2 linked regions of the Drosophila melanogaster genome follow. The protein of the gene in region 1 purifies or fractionates together with the protein of each later gene. This does not show direct contact. Each region holds a gene or a part of one and is shown on either strand. Other genes may lie near its edges. The genes, in order: alphaTub85E and ringer.

Evidence for each region.
Region 2: the proteins of alphaTub85E (region 1) and ringer purify together in Drosophila melanogaster (affinity purification with western blotting, with the first as the bait; one study listed by BioGRID). This does not show direct contact.

Annotation. Positions count from the first base shown.
Region 1 is NT_033777.3:9,730,511-9,734,949, reverse strand, and holds alphaTub85E (alpha-Tubulin at 85E), read left to right. Parts: upstream 1-1,699; 5' UTR 1,700-1,801; coding exon 1,802-1,804; intron 1,805-2,146; coding exon 2,147-2,671; intron 2,672-2,799; coding exon 2,800-3,621; 3' UTR 3,622-3,729; downstream 3,730-4,439. UniProt on the Drosophila melanogaster protein: Tubulin is the major constituent of microtubules, a cylinder consisting of laterally associated linear protofilaments composed of alpha- and beta-tubulin heterodimers.
Region 2 is NT_037436.4:16,354,030-16,361,483, reverse strand, and holds ringer (ringmaker), read left to right. Parts: upstream 1-2,055; 5' UTR 2,056-2,185; intron 2,186-5,035; exon of another isoform or gene 5,036-5,179; intron 5,180-5,292; exon of another isoform or gene 5,293-5,393; intron 5,394-5,447; 5' UTR 5,448-5,454; coding exon 5,455-5,850; intron 5,851-6,116; coding exon 6,117-6,299; 3' UTR 6,300-6,738; downstream 6,739-7,454. Other genes in the region: Pdh (photoreceptor dehydrogenase), read left to right, coding at 7,203-7,346, 7,403-7,454.

The sequences.
Region 1 (4,439 bases):
CACAGGGTATTCGACACGCCCCTGTGATTAGGATTTACAATTTTCTGTATTCTGCATTTCGAACTCAATAGAATAAACTTTTTATACCACTTTATTATCGAAAATACAACAATATTCTGGAGAGATCAATTATTTTCGGCCAAATATGAAGTGTTAGTTTTAAACGTTGTTAATTATAAGTTACACGACATCAATATCCAATGAAATAACTAATAGGTTTTAAATTGTGCAAGCAGAACAGTGGTTTACTTGTGGCCAATGCAAATACTTTAACTGAAGTTTTTAAAAATCCTAGACTACTGGCATCGGATCAGACGAATTTATAGACTGGAGTTATTGTTATTGTATTATTTATGATTGATTGTATTTATTTGTGAGGCAATTATGTAAAAATTCGTTTTTTTTCACTTTCGCACTATTCATTATTTCGGAATATGTAGAAGGATAATTCAAAATGTTTGCGGCCATGGTTTTCGTTGTTATAAGTAAAAAGAAATGTTTGGTAATACTTGTGTTTGCGTACCCAATACCCAACTTTAAACTAACTTTAAACTAAAGCCCAGCCAATTTGTTATATGTTTTTCGTTAAAGAGAAATAAAAAACCCAAATGCACCAGAGAATAGGTTTAGTCAAATAAAATTTGACGAAACGATTGCTTCCTTCTATTGAAGCCAATGCAGCTTTTTTGATACATTCCGTGATGATAAATAATTTTGGAATAACTTGCTCAAATATATATGTACTAACTCAGTGTAAAGTTGGAGGAAATAATGCCCATTTTTTTCTTACAACGCTGGCCGGCATTTATTTTGAAATACTTAATTTTGTACTGGTCGAACTTACATAAAACTTATATTTAAAAATACCATATATATTAGGAATTTAGCGTAAAATTACTGTGAGCAGTATTATAATATCTAAGTTATAAATAAAAAATAAATTAAAAGTAAAAATGGCTGTTTAATTCGAAACATGCGCTACGCTTTCATTTCGCTATGAAGATTATTCATCTTAAATTTTTAAGTGAATGTTTTGTTTATTTCTTCTTATCACACAGCTACATACTCATTGCAATCTGACACATAAACAACAAATAAGACCTTTGGCTTTTAGATTTTATTTAATGTTTGGAACAATTATTTGAAAAGTATCTTGTTTTGTAATTTTTTCTTTGTTTTTCTGGGTGTGTCCGATTGAAATCGTAAGTGGCGTTCATATTCCTAATACGTCAGCGAATAATTGGCCAAGTTTCCACCAAAAGAAATGCCAGGTTTGGCCCCACCTCGACAATTTCATCTGTTTATGCTGATTTCCTAGTGCAATTTTAAAAATAAATATGGGGTATATTTGGATTTTCATATGCTTATATTTTTCAACAGAAATAAGACTTGCTTTCCAAGTGGAGACTAGTACCCAGTAAGTAAATAATCTAAAATGTTGTCAACAACCTACAGCTGCGAATGTGAATGGATCAATGTGAGAATTCAATCCATCCATAAACACACGAGGAGGAAAACAAAATTCGATCAAGAGGCGACTTCTTGGTCATGTGTGTCTGGATGGGTTGGGTGCCTATCGTCACTTAAGTCGATGAACGCGTCCACATTTCACATAACTTCCACATATAGCATGTAGCATATAGCATATGCTACATATGTCTGTCTTGGGGGCTTATAAAAGAACGCGTATCGTCAAGATTCGGTTAGTTGACTCCCAGCTGTGTGTCGCATCACAGACCAGTGCTAGGATTTTCGTGATTGAATCTGCTTTTTTAAACTTCAGCTTAAACTTTTGATCATCATGGTAAGGATAATAGGCACTTTCAATGATTTAGCTGGACTTTTGAAATTTCGTCGGCTGCACAGAACTATGGATCCTTAAAAGTCCTTATATGCGATTTCATGCAAAACTAGACCATATGGTGCAATATTTATTCATTTTTGCAAGTGATTAATTAATGGTTTTAAAAAATATAACTGCTTGTAAACTATTATCTTAAATGAATACCCAAGAACTTACAGCGATCAAAATTGTTTGTAGCATATGGTCCAAATCACAGATTTGCAACCGGAAGTCCAAAGTTAAATTTTAGAATTACCCAAATTTACAGCGACATGAGTCACATTATTATAAACTCTGTTCCAGAGGGAATGCATTTCGGTTCACATTGGCCAAGCTGGTGTCCAGATCGGCAATGCCTGCTGGGAACTTTACTGCCTGGAGCACGGCATCCAGCCCGATGGCCATATGCCCTCCGATAAAACCGTGGGCGGAGGCGATGACTCCTTCAGCACCTTCTTCAGCGAGACTGGAGCTGGTAAGCATGTGCCGCGTGCCGTGTTCGTGGATCTGGAGCCCACTGTGGTGGATGAGGTGCGGACAGGAACCTACCGCCAGCTGTTCCATCCGGAGCAACTGATCACCGGTAAGGAGGATGCGGCCAACAACTATGCCCGCGGCCACTATACCATCGGTAAGGAGATCGTCGACGTGGTCCTGGACAGGATTCGCAAGTTGGCGGATCAGTGCACGGGTCTGCAGGGATTCCTGGTCTTCCACTCCTTCGGCGGCGGCACTGGCTCTGGATTTACGTCGCTGCTGATGGAGCGCCTGTCCGTGGACTATGGAAAGAAGTCAAAGCTGGAGTTCTCCATTTACCCAGCACCACAAGTATGTCATTTGCATATGGATATTATATCTATTGCTTGAGCATTTATAGAAGACCAATTAACATAATTAGTAAAAGACATGGGAAATTAGTCTTCGAAAGGCAATCTAATAATCGAACTTCCTGTTAGGTGTCCACAGCTGTGGTCGAGCCATACAACTCGATCTTAACCACCCACACAACGCTGGAGCACTCGGACTGTGCGTTTATGGTTGACAACGAGGCAATCTACGACATCTGCCGGCGCAACTTGGATATCGAGCGACCCACCTACATGAATCTCAATCGCCTAATTGGCCAGATCGTTTCCTCCATTACGGCCTCGTTGCGCTTCGATGGCGCCCTGAATGTGGATCTGACCGAGTTCCAGACCAATTTGGTGCCCTACCCACGCATTCATTTCCCACTGGCGACATACGCTCCCGTCATTTCCGTGGAGAAGGCCTACCATGAGCAACTGACCGTGGCCGAGATCACCAATGCCTGCTTCGAGCCGGCCAACCAGATGGTCAAGTGTGATCCGCGTCGTGGCAAGTACATGGCCTGCTGCATGCTCTACCGCGGTGATGTGGTGCCCAAGGATGTGAACGCAGCCATTGCCACCATCAAGACCAAGCGCTCTATCCAGTTCGTCGACTGGTGTCCCACGGGCTTCAAGGTGGGCATCAACTATCAGCCACCCACCGTTGTTCCTGGCGGAGATCTGGCCAAGGTGCAGCGCGCCGTCTGCATGCTGTCCAATACCACTGCCATTGCCGAGGCCTGGGCCCGTCTGGATCACAAGTTCGATCTGATGTACGCCAAGAGGGCCTTCGTCCACTGGTACGTGGGTGAGGGCATGGAGGAGGGCGAGTTCGCCGAGGCTCGCGAGGATCTCGCTGCCCTCGAGAAGGACTACGAGGAGGTAGGCATCGACTCCACCACCGAACTGGGGGAAGATGAGGAATACTAGAGAAAACGTTGTCAACAAATGATACAGCCATTACAACTTTATAAACATCACTTTCTTTCTACCAAATACCAATGCATAAAACAGTTTCGCAATAAAACAGTTTAACACAATTGCTTAAAATGGCTTATTTAAATGGGAAATATTCGTCTTTAGATGGAATTTAACTTTTGTGTTAATAAGAATAAAACTTTCTCATATAAGGAAATTGGTAAATCATATATTTATTGGAAATTACCCCTCCGTAAAAAACCCTACTTATCACTTTCTTATTGCTTTAAATATTAATATTAATTGGGCAAATTAATGTTGACTTTTAAAAGTTTTTAATTTTTGAAATCGTTACGTGTAATGGAGCCTTAGGATGCATTTTGAAACGCATGCGCAAAAATGTGTACACATATTTCTAGCAAATTCAGTAGTCGTAGACGTACCTTTTCAGGAGTAGCAGCGAAAAATATTCTTAAGATAGTTTTTAAGTTTAAATTAATTTTACATATATGTGAAAAGTTGTATTAAAAAATTCGCCCGTTATTAAATATAATATTGTTCTTTGGAAACCTCTGTGAATGTTATTTAATTGTAAATGTACATGCAAAATTGTATCCTCTTTTGTCTGCAAAATTGTATGTGCATGTATGTATTCGCAAAATTTAAGTCTAGTCTGTTAAGTTAATTAAGATATTGTTGAGTAGTCTAGGCAGACAACTTTATCTTAAAAGTCCCAGTTTAAACAGTTCTTATACAGAAATTGTATGATATGTATACATATGAAATATGAATATTTTATTTACCCATATATACCCCTTGGAATAATCAAT
Region 2 (7,454 bases), on another chromosome or scaffold:
GTACCCTTAAAAATTATAATACTTGGTTAGATACATATGTATGTACATAAGAAATATATGTTTTATGCGAAGAGCTTACAAATATGACACAGAAAAGGGTTAATTAAATCGTTAAGTCCGCTAAATAAATAATATAATGTGAATTTTTAGACACCTTATAGTATACACTGAAGATATATACTTATTTCAACCGGACACTAAGAAAACCCCCTAAGAATATGTTTCCCATCCGCCTCTGATGCACTGCAGCTGCATTGGTATCTCCTGTTCCTCCTTCGCTGGTCATTTTTATTTTTAGCAGCGGGCTTATCGGATGCCTCAGATCTCTGGTGCTTAAACTTCGCTCCCGATTAGGAGGAGGAGGAGGAGCAACTGCAAGAACCACATTGGATTGGCCTTGACGGCTCGGCTGATAAGTGCGTTTTAATGTTAGCCCCGTTGGCACTCAGTTTCAATCAAAGCCCAATTCTCTACAACCATTCCAGCCTGGCTTAATGAGCTGGTTAGTTCTGGCCTGGAATTGAAGTTGGATTGGCAATATAGTCCGGTCCACTTGGTTCACTCCCTTTGTTCTGTCTCGAGTGGACTGTGCCCTGATTTGTGTACCACCATTGGTTCTTTGAACTGCCTTCGTGGCTAATTAAAGGTGCACTTAAGATAGGCCAGGTGGCAAGAATCATGTTTTTCATTTTTCAGGACTGGGAGTACTTTGATTTTATGTCCTAGAAAAAAAGAGCAAACGAATCAGTCTAAAAGGTATTTCAGCTGTAAAACATTCCATAAATATAGGAAATTTAACTCTTTCTAATTTTAATTAAAGAATATTCTAAACGTCATCTGGTCAATAAACTAAATGAATATTGTAGAATGAAATATTTAAATTACATATCAAACATTGTATATTAAATAATAATAATCAATGGACCTCTGTTTGTAATACCTAATGCTTAATTTACGAAATTAATTAGAAGTCTCCTCAGGGTATTTCGTTTTCCAAGTTAGTCTTTCAGTTGCTTTGTATTTTGGTTTTGGGCCAGGGCTATGACTTCATCGAGTTGGCCACAAAAACTTACCAAATTCTTCCGACCGTCAGTTCTCATAAATCAATGTCAAAGGTTTTTTTTTCGTTCGTTTAGGGTTTGTTTTGGGTTTAGGACGGGCTTGTTGTTTCAGTATGTGTTTAATCATTTTATGGAGTGCGAAGTAATTTCCTTATGATTTCCTATTTGACTTTTACTTTTTCCTGAATGTCCAAAATAGAAAAGTTCAAAGAACCCATTTACCTAGTAAGGCGGTCGACAAATCTTAACCGCTTGAAATAAGTACTCATTTGCATAGCTAAGCATGAGCTCACTGGTTAGTATAGCCCAAGTCACACCCCAAAAACACGTCTAAGTAAGCCCAAAAGATACACCCTTCATTATTCGAATTGTCTGGCACTTGTTGTGTGTGTTTTTTGCCCAACAATTTCACGCATCGTTTTTTGTTTTTTTGCGCTTAAACAAATTTACTGACTACAAACTCACTGTTTTAGTAGCTCAGACTGTGTGGCGAACCCCTCCCCTTCTCTTTAGACAATATAAAATCAGGAAAAGCTTTAAGCTTTATTCCCTAGAATTTCACTCACAACAAACCAAAATTTTGAGTGTAACTTGTTGGTTTGATAAGATTCTGGTGTGTAGCGTCACTTTTGTTATTCTGAGTTGTTTTTAGGTCTCGTTTGTTTCTTTTTCTTTCTGATAAATGGCTTCGTCGTGTGGCTTTCGTTGTTAGTTTTCGTGTATAAAATTTTGCGAAATGAAGTCATCGCTTGAAAAAAAATTGGGGGGTCAGTAAAAGTGTCTATAAGATCCAAATCGTTTTCCTTATCTCATTCAGAAAGTTTTGGAATTTATGTTAGCTCACCAACGATTTGCCATCTTTTCTTTGGATAAAATGCTAAGGAGGATTTTCCTTTTTGAGTTTCTATTTCACTCAGCGAAAGCTCACTCAAAACAAAAATATCACTCATACGCCGCTTGGGCCTTCGCTAGCCACTGGCTGCGCATTTGTCCAAACAGTTGAGTTTCGACATCGCCAGCATTCGCGCGTTTGCCTTAAAGTGATTGGAAAATAGCCGAGGAATAAAACAAATATTTTTTTGGAAATATATTCAAGAATTTTTGGAACTTTTTTAATAACAAATGTAAGTTGGAAACGTTTCGAGAAAAATAATCTAGTTCGTTGGATTTATTTTTTTTTTTAAAATGTTACTGTATCCTGCATCTATAAGCAGACTCCGAGCCAAGGATATTTTTTTTATTCATTTTATGAGTAGCAGGTTCATATTTTCAAGAGCAGATTTTGACCCACTTACCGCGCATCGCGTTCCCCTTTTCTTTTGTTCCTGGGGAGCACCATTGTTTTCGATTTCCTTTGGGAGGTCCTGATTTAGGCGCATTTTCCCCGCTTCCGTGTGTATATATGCGTGCATTTGAATCATCAGTCTGAAATTCCAGTACCGAGACCCCCCAGGAAACCCCTTCTCCAAACTGGCGCTTGCGCGTTTCCCAGCTCCCAGTGATGTCATCTGGGCTAGTGGTGATGTAGCTACACATTTCATACACATATTATGTCCCGAGCATAAGTCCCCCTCCTAAGTCAATGATTTCTCTATTGCGTTGCGTGCTCTATCAGAATGCCCATGACTTCCTGTTTTGTTCCCCCCAAAATAAAAGTTCTCTTTAATTTATGCATTCAGTCCGAGGTGCTAATATTTCTGTGTGTTTATTAACACACGTAAACTCATATGTGGTGCAGTATTTCATGTTTCTCCCCCCAAAGTCGTTTGTTTTATAAATATACATCGAGATGACCCAAATTTCGCTTCCTCCATTCGCTTTCCAGCGGTCCACTTGAGGTAGGTTGGGTTTATAATTGCGTTCCCCTCTCCAGGAAGTCCATTCTTTTCGAAAATGGCTATCTATAATATTCATTCATATTCCTATTCAAATTGTGGTCATATGTCATATATATTGCCCAATTAACTTTTACCATTTTGGTAGAAAACTAATTAAAATGTTGGCAACGAATTCGCAATGCTCGACTGGAGCTGGATGAGAACTTGTTCTCCAAATCGAAAATACAGAGAAAGAATCCAAAACAGAGATGGGAAATGAGAAGAATCGAATTATTTATGGTCTGACAAGCAAGCGGATTATTTCTGATTTAGACTATCCACGCTCCCCATCAGACTGCCTGATTTTCTGCCATTCATTTCACGAGGGGTATCTGCACTTTGAGTTGCCAAAGAATATTAAGAAAATAATTTATTTTGTGTGAATATAGTATCCAAGTCTGATCAGGGTATCATAGGATGAGTCTTTCCATTGTCGATTGCGATGATTTAATACTTCCGCTTTTTAAATTGATTACGATCATCTTAAACTGTTAGTATTTCCCTCGAATAATTATAATATTTAGATTTTTGTAAAACCTTTCAGAAAATTATTAGCAATCGGGCTTCTATTAAAAATCAAACTAATAACGTCAATCTTAGTGTAGAAAATTGGATCTAACAATCCGAACTATTTGCATTGGCTGATGGTAGTTAAAAAAGATTGATTTTACTAATATTACAAAATGAATTCTATTGTGAAAAAAAGCATTTTGAAAGCCACCATAGATAACCTAAAGATATTTCTTATTAGTTTTGATTTTACAGGTAATTTCCTAGTCGATAGCCTCTTGTTTTTTGCCATCTTAAAACTCTTCTTGCATATTCCAACTTCTTTTGTGGTGTAGTTTGTCAACTTTTCTTGTTTCCGAGTATTTATGGCTTCCAATTACATGTAGGGGCGGAGTAAAGGGTTCCATTAGTCTTGTCCGGGAACTGGGACCGGATAATTTGTATCGTCTTGAGCGGAGTTCAAGTTCAATGGCCCTGGTCTTGAGACCAATAAGATGATTAATGACCGGCAGACTTGCTATGCATGCAATGTTCCCAATTAACCACTCAGTTTACATAGATCATTTCGATGGATTATCTGGGGAATATGGGCTATTAAATTGCCTCACCCCAGAGCTATTCAAAGCTGATCCCAGAACAGCGTAATCAAGAGCCGGCGTAATGAGGCGATGACATAAGCACTCATTTTTCGATTTGGATTGCGAATGGGGCTAGGGGGTGGTAAAATAGTATTTGACATGCTCGACGGGCTGCATCAAGGTCATGGTGATTCTACCCCGCCCGTCCACTTCGATTTCGATTCGCATCTGTGCGGGCACAAGCCGTGGCATCATATCTCACGGATAGAGGACTCCAAACTGGTTGCAGTCGCATCTTATCGCCGCATTAAATGCTTGCCCAAACGGCTTCCATCTCTCCTGGGGCTCCAACTTGCAACCTTAAGTGGTGCGTAATTAATGGCTCCGCCAATAAATGCTCACGTTTTATTTACTGTTTATGGAATGATGGGGATGGGTCTGAGGATTCGACTTCGTGTTGGGTAGCCTGTAAACAAGAGGACAATTTATGCTACAAGCAATTTTAAAACTAAATTATCATCCAAATTTATGCCACGTTCGGTGGGTAACAAATTAAGCGAGGAATTTCTGGCGATGCGTAAAATATTTATTGCTCTTTTTGTTATTTTAATAAGCGTAAAAGTGATTCATTTTAATAATTTTAGGGTATATCTATAACTGTATAGCTGTACCGTAAATACCTAATATCGCCTTAGGATTATTAAAACCCATGATAACTGCATGCTAGAGACTAATCATAAAAGATCTAGCAAGCTAGCGCTAAGTTCTGACCCCCATAGAGTAACCCATGTGAGCCAAACCTGTTGACTATTTGTTTTGTGTATTTGGGTTTGCCAAAAGGCGATAATTAGCTGCGTTGGGAGATGGGGGACCCAAACCGATGACGCCATCTAATGATTGAGTCTCTCCCAATTTGCCTTTAGATTTCCATCTCTCGAAATCTAGCTGAGAGAGCTTTGGCCTAGCTTTGGGTGGGTATAGCTTTGCCTTTGTCCAGTTCAGCATGGGTTGTGATATCATTGCGAAAGCGAAGTGAGTAAAGTACTGATAAGGTGTTCGCAAAGATACGTCTGGGAATAGCACCTACATATGTAGATAGTTGACAGTGACGGACAAGACCCACCGCAATGTTGGTGAGCGTTGTGGCCCACAGGTGAGGAACTGCGTAGGTGACAACCGTAGTCAACCGATTACGCAGGAGCGGAAAAGTTGCGTGTTGGAAGAAACCACTACAAAATGTTAAACAAAACAATGACCTATCAGGCTAGGCATATTATTAATAATAAATGATCCTCAGTCCATCTGTAAAATTGAAGGTTCTTTGTCCGTAGTTGTTTATTTATTACTGGGCATCTATTAAAACACCTGTAGGGTTCAGTAAAGGTTAAAAAAATATATATAATATTAAATATATTTTTCAGATCCACCATGTCCGAGGTAGCTGCAGCAAATGGAAGCCCCTCCCCAGCGCCAACTCCTGAGGTGCCCGCTACCGAGTTGGCCCAATTGGCGCTGGAGGATGAGCCCAAGGTTAGCTTTTCGGATCAGTTCAAGGCCTTCTCCAAGTTCGGGGACTCCAAGTCCGATGGCAAGCTGATAACGCTGTCGCAGAGTGACAAGTGGATGAAACAGGCCAAAGTTATCGACAAGAAGATCACCACCACGGATACAGGCATCCACTTCAAGAAGTTCAAGGCCATGAAGATCTCGCTCAGCGACTACAACAAATTCCTGGACGATCTGGCCAAGACGAAAAAGGTGGAGCTGTCGGAGATCAAGCAAAAGTTGGCCAGTTGTGGAGCTCCAGGAGTTGTGTCCGTTTCGGTGGGTTTGATAAATTGGTTGTGAAAAATATGATCTATATAAGTCAAATGATTAAGATTGATTTTAAAGTGTAAAGAACTTCGAGAAGACCATTTAGATATGACAAAATTTAAATGATTTTTTTTTGACTCATTTAAACTATCAATTGTTAAAGTAGTTTTCTTACAGAAGTTCTTAAAAAATATCTTTTTAAACCTTTGAAAGTCATAACCATATACTTTATGCCTTTATTGAAAACCTAATCAACATTTTGTTACCATTTTTAGGCTGGAAAAGCCGCAGCTGCCGTGGATCGATTGACGGATACGAGCAAGTACACCGGTTCCCACAAGGAGCGTTTCGATGCCTCCGGAAAGGGCAAGGGTATCGCGGGCAGACGGAACGTGGTCGATGGATCCGGATATGTGAGTGGCTACCAGCACAAGGACACCTACGACAATGCCCACTAGATGGGGTAACCACCGTTTTTCACCCTCTCATAAATCTGTATTTCTAACTTTTGTGTTTCCCTAGTTAATGTCTCCCAATCTAATTTATCTTTGTGTATATAATAAGTTTGTGATAATTTAAGTGCTTACAAATAAACTTATATTTTTGATTATAATTTTTGAGTTCCTTTACTTTGTTTATCCTTCTTTGTCCTTTGATACGTAAAATTTTGAAGCGGCCCAAAAAGAGTTCAAAAGTAAATCCAAATCAAATTTATATACATTTCATGGCAATCAAACCCATGTTTGGTAGTCTTAAGATAACAGATAAACTTTTAATATTACAATTTGTGAAAGAAATTTAAATATCACATATGGAAACCAAAGATATACGACATACATATGTAGATATATGTTATGTTTTCACAAGAATTTTGCTTGAATAAATACACTTTAAAATATTTGCATTGCTAAAATTTGTATTGGGAGGAAATACAATTTAAAAAACCAAAATTTTAAAGCAATTAAGATGGTTTTGTAAATCGAAATATACATTTAATTGTAAGATCTTTGAAAAATGCCCAACATGTGTACCTTCTTAAAAGCAAAGATTTCACTGGAAGATAGTTATTAAGAGATCATTGCTTTATCTACACAATGACATTATCACTGATGCAAAGCTGACATCGAAAAACCGGAGCGGTGTGAAGCAGACTGAACGCTACAGCGACCAGATGGGGATGGAAATTGATATATGGGCATAAGTTGCATAATCCTAACCCAGAGCAGGTGGAAAACTAGCTATTGATTGCAGTCGAACCAAAGTCACTCAACGATATATCATATAGCCCTTGGGAAATAGGTATAAAAGCGGCGAACATTACAGCTCCAAGTCAGCAGTGCAACTGAGGAGCTCAGTGCTTGATGAAGCCACAAGGAATACCACCGACTACTACACGAATCAGCCAGACCAAGATGTCCTTTCGCGGCAAGAATGCAGTGGTGACCGGTGGAGCTGGAGGCATTGGACTGCAGGTGTCCAAGCAGCTCCTGGCCGCTGGAGCAGCGGTTGGTTGTTTTACACATAATTACGTGAAGTAATTTCTAAAGCGAGTGCTTCCTAGAAGGTGGCCATCATTGATTTGCAGGATAATCTGGAGGAGTTTGTAAAACTTA